Regions from separate parts of the Mus musculus genome. Here all the other regions are reported to be linked to region 3. Evidence: microRNA targets listed by miRTarBase, many of them from high-throughput screens and not tested one by one. Region 3 holds a microRNA gene; each other region holds the end of a gene's coding sequence.

Region 1 (3,000 bases), not on the chromosome of region 3:
TTGTAATGTTATAAATTAAAAATGAAATGAGCCACTCTTCACAAAAAGAATTAAAGCCAACAAGCCTTAAAGCTTCCCAGGTGGGCAGAGAGGGATACATCCAAGACCAGTGCAAAGGCAGAGCCTTTAATATCCCAAGGCTTTACCTGTGGGTTCTTAAAGGAAACCTTCTGGGCAGCACTGCCAGCACGCCTTTGCCATACCCTACTGCTTTTACAGAAGAGCACACATGATAGGTGGCTAACAGGAACACACCTGGACCTCTACTAGAGAGTCAAGGTACTAAATTCTGAGCTGACTAGTGCAATTACCAACAAGTACACAGACAAACACGTTCCCATTATCTTTGGGTACTATCACCAAGAGCTAAATATTTTGGAAGCCAAATATTTTCTCCTGAACAGAAAGCAGAGCAGGTTTAGCTAACACAAACACTAAATCTCCATGTCAAAGCCTATCTTTACTAAGAAGGTTTTCTCAGAGCAAAACTACAGCCAGGGGCTTTAGTTTTTGTTTTTCAAGGATACAAACGAACTAGCAGAAAGTTCAATATGATAATATACTTGATTAAACAAATACTATTCTTGTCTCCTGAATAAGCACTTTATAACATTTTAACTAGTTTTAGTATTCTGAGAACAGAATAAAATACAAAATAAATCCATGTGCTGCAAGGACTAAGACACTGGCAGAGCATCCCTTCCCATCCCAGCCTTTATAAAAGTCTGTTCTACACATGGACACCAAGTGTAAGGTGCAGCCAGGGGAAGGAGACCGCACTGGGATTGTGCTGGGATCCGCAGCACTGTGGGAGCTAAACTGTCTTCAACTCTGCTGGAGACAAGTCCTAAGTGCCCACCTACTTCTTCTCAAAGCGAATATTGCAGTTTGTTACTTTCTTAAATGGAAATTGAAATAAGCAGAGATTTCTCTATTGTTTTACTTGATCAACCCTTCAACCTTTAGTATCTCTACTGCATGTAACAAAATAAATCAGAACACTTATGAACAAAATCATTCCTATCCTGTTCTTAAAACATCCATTCTGTGACCAAGAGCATAGATTATGTACGCAGTACAGAAATGCCTCTCAAAACCCAAATACAATGAGGCTCCAGACATCAAACTTTAAGGAAATTCACAGTGAGCCAGTTCAGCGCAATAAATCTAAGATGACTGACAAGTGTCGAGAGTCATCACGGATCATCGGTGTCTACCTGCACTGCATACTTTAGACCCATCTTGCGTCTCAAGAGCAATAATCAAGTTTGCTTTACGTTGTCAGAATGCGGGAGATCACCCCAGTACCAGGAAGCAGTGGTCTGTTGTCCAATGGACATCATGTAGGCTGTTTTGATAGCTCTGGCTCTGAGGACCCAGCTGTGGAGGGAGTGAATGATGACAGTGCTTCCCAACAACTCTCTGGTTCTCGGAGTTATGATGAGTCAGGCGAGCAAGCGAGCAGTAGCAGGGCTGGAGCTGCTCTGCCCTTAGCACGCAGCTGCTGCCAGGGCAGAAGACACTCAACTCCATTTTACATGGCTGACCACTCGACTGCACAGAAGGCACATTCAAGAGCCACAAAGGTCAAGTTCAAAACCCTGACCTTGCAGCTTTATACTCTCGTCATATTTTTTTTCCTACAGCATTGAACACTTCCAATAAACATGAGAATTGAAAATTATAACAAAAATATGGTATTTTTAATAGTGATATTAAGTTATGAGTTGGTAAAAGTATGCGCATAAAGTCTGCAAGAAGTAGCCTTTCCTTGAGCCGAACCTTCCTCGACAGCTGTGTTCTGGCACATGTCCCTTTCACATGTCACATGACCTCTGCACATTCACTCATACAAACACACTGGCACACACAACTTGCTCAGAGACGTTAAACACAAACAGAGAAGAATTTTTCTCTATGCTCTTTGAAACTTCTTATAAACAATAGTATCCAAAAATGTAACTAAAACAAACAGATGAACAAACAAAACCCCAAGGTATTGCTATGTAACCAAGCTGGACTCCATCTCAAGGCCTCTGCCTCATCTTTCCTACTTGTGTGCACCACTGTGCCCAGCCCCAGACTCAGCTTCTGAGGTGTCAACAGCTGACGGGTCTTACTAAGCTCGGGCTCTACATCACATAGTCTTCCTTGGGTTTTGATTGTTTTTAGCAGCTTTATTTAAAACAGTTTCTTTGTATGCTACAGTTATGCCCTGTGGCTAATCGGTTTTATTAACTATCACAGAATTTCCTATCTCAAGGGTTTTCTTGGGACACACACTAACTAAAGACAAATATAAAAATATATGCAACTTTTTCTCTAGGGTACACAAAATGCACAAATTACATAAATAGTTTTGTGTCATTTACAAATATATAAACTTGTTAGAAAAGCATGCCTATTAAATTCTGGTATATTTTCACTTAAAGATATATTTCATTGAAAGTAAAGAAAGAAGAAAGGAAGAATAATGGAAAGAAGGAAGGAAGGAAAGAAAGAAGGAAGGAAGGAAAGAAGGAAGAAGGACTCAAGTTTTGTTTTGTTTTTTTGTTTTGTTTTGTTTTTTCTCAAAGGCTAGTCTTGCTAGGGACATTAGTGGTTTGAACTGATTTACCAGCAATTAAATACCATCAGGGTTATTTGCATCAGGCAACACACCAAAACAGGGCACACACACACACACACACACACACACACACACACCCCAGAGTAATTTTGCCATGTGTGTCTTGTCTTTTGAAATATACCTTTTTTATGGCTGTAACACCACTCCTTGCATGGATCCTTAGTTTTGAAATTAATAAGACATGGTGAATTAATCAATTAAAGGGTCATCGTCATCTTCCTGCAGCTGAAGACGGGAGAATGGACGGGATGTGGATGCTCTGCTCCGCATGAATATCATGAGGCCTGTTAGCATGGTTAATACCAATAGTGCACTAACAACAATTCCAATGGCTTCTGGGAGATTAATGCACCACTGGTCCACCAACAAGC
Region 2 (3,000 bases), not on the chromosome of region 3:
TACATGGCTAATTACCACTTAAAGCACACCTAGTGAGCCTGGCTACTGCACTCAACAGAGCAGAATTAGATCATTCATTCTGGCCACAATTCATTCTAAGTGGGAAGAAAGTCACAGATCTAAATCTAAGAAGGCAAAAAGAACCCACAAAAGTTGCTCCCAACTGAACTGTCTTCTCTTCAGATAAAAGTCAGGTATTAAAAACAGTCCATTTTATTCGGTTTTTAAAACTAGTTACACAGTTGAATTGACTATTCATTAGGTACTATTCTGTACGGGGATTATGCCTGGGTATGGCGACACTTCAGTACTGTAACAAGCCCACTACTGTATGTGTATATTGAGACACTCGGCATAGAGATACTAAAAAATGACTGTAGTATTCCTTTAAGGAAGATTGTAAAGAGTGTGTTAAAAGATGACATTTATCAACTTGTGAATTATTCCAACTAGAAGATAACTTGCACTCTATAAAGTTGTGATAGGCAAACATGTTATCATTTAAAAATGCACACAAAAAAGGTACATAAAAATCCAGATATTCTAGTAAATAAATTTAAAAAAACCTAAAACCTATGTTTCAGCTTTTGTAACACGAGAAGATAAAGAATATAACTTAAAAACATACACCAAAAAAACAAGTCACACAATGGTCTGCGTTAAGGGTTGCATCTGTACAAAATCTTGTCAGTGTTATCTCTACAGTTTATTGTACAATCTTTTACATCTACATAACATACTAAACAAGTCAAATATCAAGACTTATTAATATTAGTGATTCTGTAGGCAGGCATACAGGTAGAGGGGAGAGAGGGGGAGAGGGAAAGAGAGTGAAAAAGGGGGGGGAGAGGGAGACAGAAAGGGAGAAGAAGAGGGAGAGAGATCAAAAACTGCAATCTTCCACTCATTTGAAGTGTAATGTATTTCAAGGTGGGGTGTAAAACAATATTTGTATGGACTACAGGGTAAAAAACAATCAGCCATGGTGTTTATTGATGTTCTTTTTTATTTTTAAAATCACACATTGTATACACATACAAATCAGTCTAAAATTTATTCACCAAACCCCCAGTTTTTCAGCAATTGGCTCTTACTCAGCACCAAAAACTCCAGTCTGTGGAGATACAGACATCTGCAGTGTGGTTGAGCGTGTCAGGTTCTAGGTTAACTCTGAGACTTTGCCCCCTTTGATCCTTTTCTCTTCATGGCTCTCTAGACACAAGGCGGTCAAAACTTCAGATTCATGACCCATGGCCCTACTAATGCTAAACTCAACAGCCTTTGGGGAAGAACTCAAAATAACGTGAGATGAATGAAATGAGAGAACCTACATAATTGATGAGCATTCTCCATTCCGAGGACATTGTTGTTTTTAACAACGTTCGAGACTGTTTGGTCATAATACCATGATAGTACTAGGCTACTTCTAGTCTGAGACTTTGTGACTTTGTCATATGTCTCAAAAGAAAAAGTGATCAGTACTCAGGGAACACTTCAGAACAAGTTAGGAAATCAAATGGCAGCTGAGAACCTGTGAGCGAAGACTAATGAGGCCAAACAGAGAAGCCACCAAAATGATGAAAGCTCAAGAGAAGCTGAGTTGTGAAACTTGCAGAGTCACCACGGATGATACCTGAGGATCTGGAGTTTTTGATGAAATGAGCCCAGAATGAGGACTAGTCATCTGCATTAAGAAAAATAAAACAAAAAATTATGTCAGATTATCAAAACACTCAGTTCTAAAATCCCACCAAACAGATTGTGTTTATTCTCCTTACCTTTGTCTATACAAAGACTTTCTGGCCCTCTGTTTTTACAGAAATGTAATAAGCACTTAGGAATTTAGATGAGTTGTGCATGGTAGGGAATGCCTTTAATACTAGCATTTGAGAAAGGGGAGGGGTGGAGGCAGAAAGAGCTCTGAGGCCACCTGTTCAACATAGTGATTTCTAGGCTACCCAGGGCTACATAGAGATAAAAACTCTATCTGAAAATTAACAAAACAAAAACCAAATAAACAAATGAACAAAAGAATCCAGATGATGAGACAGAGAGATGGCTTAGCAGTTAAGAGCATATGTATCTGTTCCCAGCAGCCACAGGGAGGCTTACAACTATCTATAACTCAGTTCCCTCTTCTGGCCGCCAAAGGCACGGACGGCATGCTCATGTGAATATACACAAATACAAGTCGAAGATTCATACACATTTAAAAACATCCAGATGAAGTGTTCTCATGATTGTAGAAACCAGAGTTCCTAGTACAACCCCAACTTCTTTTCTTTCACCTGACTATCCCAGGCTACTGATGCAAGTTACTTATTTTCTAACTGTCCCAATACAGTCACATAAATTGCCTCCCTAACAATGGAAACAAAAATCAAGAAAAATTCTATAATAGTTATTTCCACTGACCACAGACAAAGCTGTATTTACAATCAACCCAACAAAATCCTCTGAGGGTACAGGCACAGGCTACCATGTTTGTTTACCTCAGCACTGGAAATCGAATTAGGGTCTCATCTTTGCTAAATTTGGGCTCTTCCTCTAAACTATCTACCCCCTACCTCAAAAGTCATGTTTAAAAGCATTCAAGTGTGGTGACACATAGCTGCAATCCTAGTGTTCATGAGACTATGGTAGGGGAATCTCAAATGCACGGCTAGCCTGGTCTACATAGCTGTCCCTGTCTCCAAAAGTCAAAACAAAGAACTCTCTTCACTTTATCTAAGCAGTTACATCTAAAATGTTAGCAAACCTTAAAATCTTGTAGGTATTTCCTTGGCTACTGGTAGGACGACACATGCTGGGAAAGACCCATGTAACTCACCCCTCTATGCATAATAGCATGGTGACACAAGGAGGTCAGTGAGGACAAGCAGCTGGTCATCAGTGAACTGCTGCTTGTGTTCTTGCCAGTTGTCATGATGTGTCCTTCGGAAATTGGATAAGGTCTTCTTTACAGTCATCTGTAATTGACCCATATACATTTTAACCTCT
Region 3 (4,573 bases):
GTAAGATATGCACATGTAAGATATGTAAGATATGCACATGTTAGGATTCCTAGCACCTCAGGATGGATCTGCTGTGGCAACAGCTGCTGACACACGTCTACCCTAGCCACAAAGGAGTGTGGTTGCTTCTTCCCCATCAAAGCCCTCCGTCAGGCCTGAGACTCATTATGTATCAGAGCAGTCCCCATGGGTGCCAGGACTTGTGGAGCTAGAGTACTATTAAGGCTGATTTTCTCAATCTATTCCCAAAAGGGAATCTGGAAGCCTGGGCCTCCTCTCAAGGAGGCAGGCCTGACCACCTCCTACTAGGTTTTTGTTTGTTTGTAAAAGAGGGGTGGGTGCATTGAAACAGGGCTTTACCATGTAAATATAGCTCTTCTGGAACGTGCAGGGTAGACCAGGTTGTCCTTGAACTCACAGAGATCTACCTACCCATGCCTTCCCTGTGCTGCATTCAAAGGCATGGGCCATTGGGTCTTGCCGCTAAAGGTAACTCTGCAAGCACACTAAGGATCGGGCATCCTTAAAAATTCAGCTCCAGGGCTGGAGAGATGGCTCAGTGGTTAAGAGCACTGTTCTTCCAGGGGTCCTGAGTTCAAATCCCAGCAACCACATGGTGGCTCACAACCATCTGTAATGGGATCCGATGGCCTCTTCTGGTGTGTCTGAAGACAGCTACAGTGCACTCATATAAATTAAATAAATAAATAAATAAATAAATAAATAAAAATGAGCTCCAGCCCTGTCTGGAAAGCAGACATACCAGACACCTCCATGCCTCTCCTACTCAGCACATACCCTCTTTGTAAAGGAGCAAGCAGACATGGCTGGCAGGCCTACTCTGCAGGCTTCTTGTTCCAAGTCCATCCATCTGGCCCAGGCAGGACACTTCTTCTGAGCCTCAAGGTGTGAACCCAAGGTGTGGTTATCTCAGGAAAGGCTGAGTCCAGTTCTTCCCGAGGCAGTCAAGGCTAAGCAAGGTATACAAACCTTTTCCATACAAAGAGGTGAACATCTGTTTCTCTCCACAAGGTCCTGGAGTTCCTAGTTTTGTTTTGATTCTTCAGACAGCTTCAAAACTGAGACAATCTTCCTGCATCAGCCTCCAGACATGGGCTCACCAATCTTTCTTTCTTTTTTAATTGATTAATTAATTAATTAGTTAATTTGGTTTTTCTCAAAACACGGTTTCTCTGTGTATCCCTGGCTGTCCTAAAACTCACTATGTAGACCAGGATGCCCTAGATCTGGGTGATCCACCTGCCTTTGCCTTCCAAGTGCTGAGATTTAAGGCATGAGCTACCTACCATTCACTCACCGCCGCGCCCCCTGCAGCAGACTCCCCTATCTTAACCTGGGGGGAGGGGGCTAAGAGCTTGAGACTGGAGCCTTTCCAAATCTGGGGTCTCCCCTTTGTACTGGTTCCAGCCTTGGAATATGGTTCTCAGCATCCACCTTATCCTTTTAGCTAGAGATAGCTATCTCTATCTAAGACTATGATCCAAGCACTGACCCTTTTGTTCCTCAGGCTCCTTAGCTGGCCCGACAGATGCCCTTTCATCATTGCACTGCTTCCCAGAGGCCCACAGTAGTGCAACAGGGAAAGAGTGTCCAACAAGCCTGTCAGTCTCACGGGGTGGGGCGGGGCATGGGGAGTTGGGGTGGCTGGAGTGGGATCTTAGACCTAGAACGCATGCCCACCTGGGCGGAGCCTCGGCCTGAGCAAAGGATGCCCTCTGACCCCAGAGACACGGGCCTGGCTACAATCTCAAGTTTCCATGGAGAAGAGAGTAAAATGAGCAGGGGGAGGGTACGGCCTGCAGGCCTGAGGGGCCAGGCCTGGAAAGGGAAGAAAGAAGGAACAGTAGGTGAGGTGGTCTTCGAGGCTGGTCCCAGATGCTTTGACAATACCATTGCACTGCTTCTCACAGCACAGTAGTGCAACCTAGTCAGAGCACCCGCAGCCAGCAGGAAATCCATCGCCCTCGCTGCACGCAGGGCTGCGCTGGAAATTCAACCACCATGGGTGGGTGGGACATCTATCCAAGCTCGGAGAACAGACGGGATTCCAGCCCGGATGCAGTCCTCTGGACTTATTAACTTCAGGGAACTCAAACTTTCTCTAACAGGCTTCTGATTCTGGTGAGGTACTCCAAGGAGGGAGCTGAAGGGCGAGCACCCGAGGGGGCTCAAACACAAAGGAGAGAGGCCTGCGCTCAGTTGCAGAGGGGAGCACAGTGGGACTACTTGTACCCTGTTTCAGACCAGAACTAGAATAAGAGGGATACTTCACTCCTTGCACGTGAGGCCCTTGGAGTCCGAGATCCGGTCCTTGGTCCATTCCCCCAGTATGAGTTCTGCACTCTATCCTAACAGATTCTCCTGCCTAGAAGAGCAGAACTAGGGCTTCCTGGCATCTGGAGTTTCCCTGGCCTCACCGCACACCCTATCCCAGACCAGTTACTCACGTGGACAGACACCTCTTGTTCTCACCAGGGGGACAAGGTGAAGCTTAGTGGAAGATCCAGGTAGGCGGCGGCCCCGTCATATCTGGACAACCCCGCACCTCAGCACCTCGTGGCGCCCTCTCTCCCTCGGCTCCATCTTTAACCATCTGACAGTCCCGAGGGCCGAGCCCCGGGCCTCAAGGCACAGCGCCAGCCTCATTGGCTTGCGCCTACACCAAGCTTTGCCTCCTGCGCACCTATTGGCTGCTGCTGGAAAGATTTCAAAATAGCCTCCAGGCTCCGATTGGCCAGGCGCCCGAGTTTTGGCTCCACCGTTTTAACAATGAGTTCTACAAACACTTTCTCCTCATTCATAACTCTTGAAAAGGAGCTCTGTCCGCCTTTTCCCAGCTCATTTCTCTGTAGTTATTATAGTGATACTCATGAGGGCGCGTCCATGCTTACTACACAGCTCACCAAATTAGCGAGGGCTCTGAGATCCCGGCAAAGTGTCCTTTGGCCAAGCCAGCGGTTGAATGAACCCCTAGGGGATGCTTCGTATTTCGCGAGAAATTTGTTCATTGCTCCTCCAGGATGGGACATTTACTTAAAAACCGTGGCCTTCCCTCTTTCTGTCCAACTTCAGAGCATCGTCATCAGGAAACCTCTGGCTGGGCTGAGGAGGCCCTGGCACTTTTTGTAAGTGAAGAAATGCTCTGATGTCATTGATGTCATTGAGAATGTGAACCACTTTATGGGTAAGAGTTCATTAAGTGACCTTTCTGAGCTAATATGTCCAAAGATACACAGCACCTAGCACCCAGAACCTGAGGTGTTCTACTCAGTTCTGTCAGCGAAGGGAAAAACAGAGTTTTGCAGCTGGCGTCTGAGCTTTACCCCTAGTTATATCCATATGAGACAGGGAATCTTTACCCCCCAGCTCAAAGGCTGAAAGAAAATATTTTTAAAGCAGACAGAGCTGGTTTTCGATCTTCAAGAACTCATTTTGTCCACTTAATTTTAAATGTAATTTTTTGTGTATGGGTGCTTTGTTTGCCTGTCTGTACCACCATGTACATGCCTAGTGTTCAGGGAGGTCAAAAGGCTTTCTATCCTCTGCAACTGAAACTATAGAGGATTGTAAGCAAACACATGCATGCTGGAAATGAAACCCATATGCTCTGGTAGAGCAACCAATGCTATTAACACTGACCCATAATATCTCAGTCCCTACATTGTTTTGTCTTCTTTGGGAAAAAAAAGAATGCTGGTTTTTTGAGACATCGTATATCACGGCTGGCTAGTTGAGAACTCACAGAGTAGACCAGGCTAGCCTTGTGCTTATGGTAATCCTCCTAGGTTTTTGCAGTACTGGGGATACAGCCACCACACTGCATCGCTCCACACAGATACAAAATAAAACATCCAGAAATTCCAACATTTGGGAAGTGGAGAAAAGAGCCAGAAGTTCAAGACCAGCCTGAACTACATGAAATACTGTCTTTAAAGAGAGGGGGCTCACCAGAAAGAAGGCTCAGTGGTTAAGAGGGTTGGCTGCTCTTCCAGAGGACTCAGGTTCCATGCCCAGGATCCACAAGTTGTCTCAAAGGCATCTGTAACTCCAGTCCAGTATCGTCTTCTGGTCTCTAAAGCCATTGCATGCATAGACATATGGGCAGTCAAAACACCCATACACATAAAAATAAAAATCAAATGTAAAATTAAAGTGTTTTGCTGCTGCTCCTGTGCTTTTCATTTGTAATGTTTTGCATTCTGCATGGAAGCAACTTTTCTGCTCCATGAGTTTGGGGGCTGGAGAGATTGATGGCATGGCTGTCAAAATCGAGTACTACTCTTGCAGAACTGTTAAAATTGGACTTAAATGAGTTCCCCAGCCATACTAGATGGCTTACAGCCACCTGCAGTCCCAGCTCCAGGAAATCCAACACCCTCTTCTGACCTCTGAGGACACCTAACTCATGTTCATATTCACACACACACACACACACACACACACACACACACACACACACACTTTAAAATGGCATTTAAAAGTTTGGCAATAGATCAAGGCACATTAGTACACATCTTTAATCCTAGTACCTGGGAGACAAAGGCAGGTGGAT
Region 4 (3,000 bases), not on the chromosome of region 3:
AGGTTGGTCCTTTCTCTAGGACCAAAGCCATGGCTGGCAGATCATACCCTCAGACATGTAGAAGCTGAAAAGGAAGGAGACAGAAATGAAGAAACCCAGGCTGGTATCTCAGCACACCCCTGGCTGCCACCCAGTGCTGCTGAAACCTAATATCTTGTTTCTTTTTCCTTCTGTAACTAATGAGCAGGATGACAAGTACTGGGCGAGGCGCAGAAAGAACAACATGGCGGCCAAGCGCTCCCGTGATGCCCGGCGGCTGAAGGAGAACCAGATCGCAATCCGGGCCTCATTCCTGGAGAAGGAGAACTCGGCCCTCCGCCAGGAGGTGGCTGATTTAAGGAAGGAGCTGGGCAAATGCAAGAACATACTTGCCAAGTACGAGGCCAGGCACGGGCCCCTGTAAGATGGCATTTTTGTGGGCTGGCTTTTGAATAGATGGACAGCTTGTTTCCTGTCTGGTAGCCCCACACCCAAACCAACCTTTCTGACATCAGCACTTTACCAGAGGCATAAACGCAACTGACTCATATTTTGGTGTGCATCTATGCGTATGTATGTATGTTTGTGTGTGTGTATATGTGCTTATGGTCCCATGTGTGGTCAGCGGTGTGCATGTGTGAGCGTGTATATGTGTGTATTCCTTCACACTTGTCGTTTAAAGATAGTCCTCTTGTTGTCTTTTAGTTCCAAACAAGAAAGGTGCCATGTTTTTTATTCCACCCTGGAGACTCCCATGGGGTTTCCTCCCCTTCCTTCTCCCTTCCTGCCCCTTTCTGCCTTGCTCTGTGTTCTAGCGATCTCACTTGGCCAGGGTCTGTGTTGCTTCAGGAAGCAGGGCCCTGGATCTCAGTGATCAAGACCATAAGCTCTTGTTTCTGTTTCAGCCATGAATTACCATGCTGGAAAGGTGCATAGCATACCCTAGCACTGCGCGCAGCTGAATTCCTTCATAGGTTGCCCCACTTCCCTTCCCTTTTTCCTCCCCACCCTTTCTCGTTTTTTCCTTTCAGTTTTGGTGACACTTGTCTTCAAATTTAAAGTGCTGTTTAGATTTAGTAGAGTCCCATATTTACTTACTGCTACCTACTAAGTTTCCTTTTAATTCCACCAACCCCAGATAAGTAAGTACCATTCCTTATAGAACACAGAGTGTGTTTTGCACTGTCTGTACCTAAAGCAATAATCCTAGTGTACGCTAGAGCATGCTGCCTGAGTATTAACTAGTGGACGTAGGAAAAAAAATTCCCTACCTAGGAATTTCACTGTCTTTTAAAAAAAAAACTCAAAAATCAAGTAATGCATTTGTGCATGACCAGAATATTCTCAGGACAGGGAAGCAGAGGGCAAGGGAAGGCCTAAGAATGAGGGGTTAATTTATCAGTATGTATGCCAAAAACATAATAATAATGCATCTTGGAGAAGCCTTTGCCACGGTGTGCTTCGTCGTGCGTCTCCCCTTCCCACACCCAGCCCATTCCCACTTTTCTAGCCCATTCACTTTCTCCATTTCCCTCTTGATATTCAAAACGATTGACTTAAGATTCAGTTTACCCACTTTGTTTTATAATATATATATTTGGGGGGGGGACGATATTTTGCTGTTTTTAGAAATCAGTTAATTAAGTGAAAAAGTTGATGTTTTGAAAAGCCCTCCCTTGACCCCCACCCCCACCCCCCGTGGTGTCCTTTTGAATGCCTCACAAATGAATGATTCCGGAGCCCGTGTTTCTCATCCTCTGTTTGCTTTTGAACATATGTGCGCCTATCAAGTGGACTTCTGAAAAAAAAAATGAATGTAAAAGACACTGGTGTATCTCAGAATGGGATGGTGTTGTCACAAACTGTGGTTTCTCCGATCAATTTAAATGTTTACTATAGACCAAAAGGAGAGATTATTAAATCGTTTAATGTTTATACAGAGTAATTATAGGAAGTTCTTTTTTTGTACAGTATTTTTCAGATATAAATACTGACAATGTATTTTGGAAGACATATATTATATATAGAAAAGAGAAAAAAAGGAAAACTATTCCGTGTTTTAAAATTATATAGCAAAGATATATATTCACCAATGCTGTTCAGAGGAGTGCTTGGGGGCTTTTGAAATCTTTAATATTTTAAACCTATTACTGACACATCAGCATGTTTTCTGCTTAAAATTAAAATTTTATGACAATACTGAGGCTTGCTGTGACGACTCCTGCTCCAACGCTTTCTTGTTTCTTATTAGGTCTCAGAAGGAAGTCAGTTAACGTCACCCAAAAGCACAAAACGGGTTTTAGTCAAATATTTATTGGATGATCCAGTGTTTTTTAGGAAAAGCATCTGCCACATAAATGTTCACTTCAGGATTCTGAGTCGTTGGAATGGAGTATGGCTGCCAGAGCCCCAGATGATTTTGTTCGCTTTCGGCCTGTGTATCTATCTCACGCAGTGTAAGGTTGACCTCGGTGCTATGTGTACGGCTTAGAGTTTGATAGCTGTTTTGACTTTAAAGATGGCTGTTATTTTGTTTCACTGAGTTGTATAATGTCAAGAGAGTCTGCTGTTTCTTCAAAAGCACATTTTTGTGCTCGATTAAAATCCCCTTCCATCCATGGATGTTTTCCGGTCTCCTGCCTCCACAGTATCTGACTTCTCTGCGGATCCAGTGATGCCCTCCCCCCTCCCTCAGCCACTCCGCTGTCCAGTGTCACAGATCTGGAAAACGAGACCTGTAGGTTTCTTCCCAGGTTCCTGTTGTATTCCACGGTGAGAGATGAGAGAGTGAGAGAAATAAAATACATTTTGCAAGCAAATTACTGATTAAAAAAAATGTTTCAACCATGTTGTATAGAACTGAATAAGAGATAATTCAGTAATAGCCATGGGACACCAAAAAGTTGGTCCTTTTGAAGATAGAGAAAGAGAGGGATTGCAGAACTGTTCAATGACAGTGCTTGCCAGGGCACAGATGAGTACTTAAGGAGAGAAGTGTTCAAGGGTTGCACTGTGGCCCAC
Region 5 (3,000 bases), not on the chromosome of region 3:
GGTCAACCATTATGTCATGGTTCCTTCAAGAGTGGTTTCAATGGCATTGCTATTTCAATTGCTAGACTGCATAAAGCAAGTTGCCCTCTTTCACATGGGTAGACCTCATTCAATCAGTTGAAGATCTGAATAGAACAAGAAATTGGCCTTCACTTGAGTCAGACAGAGGTCCTCCTGCTTGGCATATCATTTTCCTCCCATCATTTTCATTGGAAAACCAGATAGTAGTTTTTCTGGAGTCTTGAGCTCACAGGCCCCTGAGTGGGATCCCCAGCATCCTGGTTCACCTTCTAGAAATTGCCAGTATCCCAAAATGAAGCCAAGTTATTTTTGATAAATCTTTTCTTCTTTGTTTTTATCTTAGTTTCTTTCTTCCTTCCTCCCTCCCTCCTCCCCCCCCCCTCTCTCTCTTTCTTTCTCTCTTTCTTGGTTTTTCAAGACAGGGTTTCTCTGTACAGCCCTGGCTATCCTGGAACTCACTTTGAAGACCAGGCTGGCCTCGAACTCAGAAATCTGCCTGCCTCTGCCTCCCAAGTGCTGGTATTAAAGGCGTGCACCACCACACTCGTCCTTAGTTTCTTTCTTAATCTCCATCTTTATCATTCCTGTCCCTGTCCTGTGGATTTGTATCTTTAGAACACTTTAATACAGAATTCCAAATGTAAATTTAGGTGGAACTAGATGACAATATTAATATCCATGACATATGGTTACTGGAACTCAGATTAGTAGATAATAAATCATTGCATAAATTACTAAAATGGCTTTAAATTAGTTATAAATTACAACTAAACTATTTGAAGTAATCCATGAATAGCAATGACTTTTAGCAGAAAAATCCCACTTAAATTAATTTTTAATATTTGAGAAGTTTGCTACCCCCAAACATTATACAAACATACAAATATGCATTGTATACTTGCTTACTACATACATACAGACAGACACACATACAAACAAAACTGCGTAACTGTTAAACAATTTTATTGTGCAGATTTGAAATCTTTATAGGACATGCAGCATAAAAAAGTGTAAAATATATCAGTAAGCATATAAAATTTCAGTAACCTTTTGGATCAGCAATTGACTTGTATAAAACTGAGTATCTAGGGAGAACAGACATGTCTTGGAACACACAGTTTACAGACTGAATTGTAGAATCATTTCCCAAGTGATTCTCCTTATATAAAGATAAAGAATATCTCTACATGTAAAAAGGTATACAGTCTAGTACACTTTCAGTTATGTGCACAGTTTAAAATTCAAACTGTGGCCATGCCAGTGTCTGTTTTAAATGCAAACAATCAAAGTAGGTAGCAGGTTGGTAAAGTGTCGGCAAGACTGAAGGAGAAAACAAGTCAAGCAGGGTTCCAATACATGTATGAAAGTGAAAATGAAAGCCTATCTGGAATTTTAAAAATATCCCCAAGGGCAGAGCTGTAATGTGAGCTGGGAAGTAAAAGGCTTTTGGGTGTCCCAGGCAGGCAGCTTTCTGGAGACTCAGGTACACAGGTGAAATTCCTCAGTTTGGGTTCAGAAAAACTTGAATTTATTACAGCAAGAACATTACCTCAAGCTTTTGTTACCACCCTTCCCCCACCTTTCTGAACAAAATGATGGTTGGATTAGGTCAAAGGTTCCTTGCAGGGGGAAAGGTCGAGCTTCACAGCATTGCAGACTATTGCAAGGGCTTTGCATAAAAGGGGTCATGTTTACAACAGGCTTGGCAGTCTCGGTTTAGCAGCCTCCTTTTTGACACCCCTCCCTGGAGGTTCACTCATCAGCTGAAAAGGAAGTACAATGTTGAGCTCCTAAATCATCCCAGTCAGTCACTAAACCTTGATCCTGGTGAGGGGCTGGCTTAGAGTCAGGAACCTGTGATTATTCTTGAAAATGAGTGAAACTGAATAGACACGCTGGCCTCATTCAGTTGCTGAGTGGCAGGGAAAGCTGGCTTCTACTTCTGCCAGTCCAGAGAGGTCTCACCCCCATTTGTCTGCTTCAAATCATTTCATTGGGTTAATGTTGACCAGGCTTAACAGAGAGAAAGATGCTACATAGCTGAGCACAGATATCAACATCAACAGGTTCTGTATTTCAGAGTCAGAAACAAGTACAGAGAACTAGCAAGTGCAATTTGTATGTTTTGTTTTTAGGAAAGCTGCCGGCATCATGCAAGTAGATGAGTTAGATCCTATTTGGAAAAAAAAAAAACATGAAAAATTAGAAGGCACGTAGGTCTTATTCTCAGTATAGCAAATATTCAGGCATACAAAATAACAGGTTAAAATGCCAGGATAAGTAAAACATTGTTGGTATCATGAAGATTATAGTCTCCAAATTGATGGTGATCCCTAAATCCCTAAATCTAACTGGATTGTTAAGAGTGAGGACAGCAACCAATTCCTTAGATAACTGGCATATATTAAAAACGTTCCTTCATGCCCCTAAACAAATGGCCGTAACCTGAATCTCTTCCCTTTGTATGACATCATCACCTTTGAGTAGGCAGTTGAGGTTGTTGGTACTCTTCCCTGCCTCCCAGTCCTTCCTATTTTTCTCAAATCATCTTTCAACAATATGTTTATATTTTAGCCAATGAAACAATGATTCACATATAAAAGAGAGAGCAGGAATGGGTTTAAACATTCCAGACTGTCAAACATAGATGCAGTAGCTTAGAAGAGACAAGTAGTATATATGAGAATGGTGGGAATGAATTCTTTGTTCTTGATCAAGACAAACCATTCATAAATTTGCTGCTGCGAGAGCAACTTGGAATTGGCACCAAGGAAATAGTAAGGGGGGAAAAAAACCTTTCATCCTTGAAATGTCCCTCATATCTCTTTCTGCGTGCTGATGCGGATGTTGCTGAATATCTTGCCAATAGCTTCAAAGAGTGGATCGCAGAAGGTATGGACGTAGATGGAGTAGACGCGGCTGATGCACTGAATCTCAATCAGGAAGCTCTTGATGCACGGTACAACCGCCCAGATGTGC

The links. Region 3 holds the annotated microRNA mmu-miR-301b-3p (CAGUGCAAUGGUAUUGUCAAAGC, at 1,899-1,921, opposite strand). A microRNA usually pairs through its seed, bases 2 to 8, with sites in the 3' UTR of a target mRNA and lowers its output. Matches are read on the target gene's strand: a 7mer-m8 pairs with bases 2 to 8, a 7mer-A1 pairs with bases 2 to 7 and ends in A, and an 8mer does both.
Region 1: the mRNA of Enpp4 is a reported target of mmu-miR-301b-3p. Seed matches in the 3' UTR shown: 8mer at 300-307 and 7mer-m8 at 109-115.
Region 2: the mRNA of Psme4 is a reported target of mmu-miR-301b-3p. The part of its 3' UTR that is shown has no 7-base or 8-base seed match.
Region 4: the mRNA of Hlf is a reported target of mmu-miR-301b-3p. Seed matches in the 3' UTR shown: 7mer-m8 at 1,157-1,163 and 7mer-m8 at 2,985-2,991.
Region 5: the mRNA of Cav1 is a reported target of mmu-miR-301b-3p. Seed matches in the 3' UTR shown: 7mer-m8 at 2,130-2,136.

The regions. Positions count from the first base shown.
Region 1 is chr17:44,096,495-44,099,494 of GRCm38, forward strand. Enpp4 (ectonucleotide pyrophosphatase/phosphodiesterase 4) reads right to left here. Exons shown (of 4, transcript NM_199016.2): 4 at 1-3,000. The coding sequence ends at 2,819. Among named protein-coding and RNA genes, the nearest start is that of Gm34917, 7.8 kb to the right of the region's middle.
Region 2 is chr11:30,878,348-30,881,347 of GRCm38, reverse strand. It overlaps Psme4 (proteasome (prosome, macropain) activator subunit 4), which reads right to left. Exons shown (of 47, transcript NM_134013.3): 46 at 2,831-2,969; 47 at 987-1,684. The coding sequence ends at 2,835. It also overlaps a transcript of Erlec1 not described here. Among named protein-coding and RNA genes, the nearest start is that of Gpr75, 5.5 kb to the left of the region's middle.
Region 3 is chr16:17,122,522-17,127,094 of GRCm38, forward strand. Mir301b (microRNA 301b) reads right to left here and starts at 1,975; the gene lies at 1,879-1,975. It overlaps 2610318N02Rik (RIKEN cDNA 2610318N02 gene), which reads right to left and starts at 2,681. Exons shown (of 7, transcript NM_001358255.1): 1 at 2,469-2,681. Mir130b (microRNA 130b) reads right to left here and starts at 1,621; the gene lies at 1,540-1,621.
Region 4 is chr11:90,338,162-90,341,161 of GRCm38, reverse strand. Hlf (hepatic leukemia factor) reads left to right here. Exons shown (of 4, transcript NM_172563.3): 4 at 188-3,000. The coding sequence ends at 403. Among named protein-coding and RNA genes, the nearest start is that of Hlf, 51 kb to the left of the region's middle.
Region 5 is chr6:17,339,292-17,342,291 of GRCm38, reverse strand. Cav1 (caveolin 1, caveolae protein) reads right to left here. Exons shown (of 3, transcript NM_007616.4): 3 at 964-3,000. The coding sequence ends at 2,838. Among named protein-coding and RNA genes, the nearest start is that of Cav1, 34 kb to the right of the region's middle.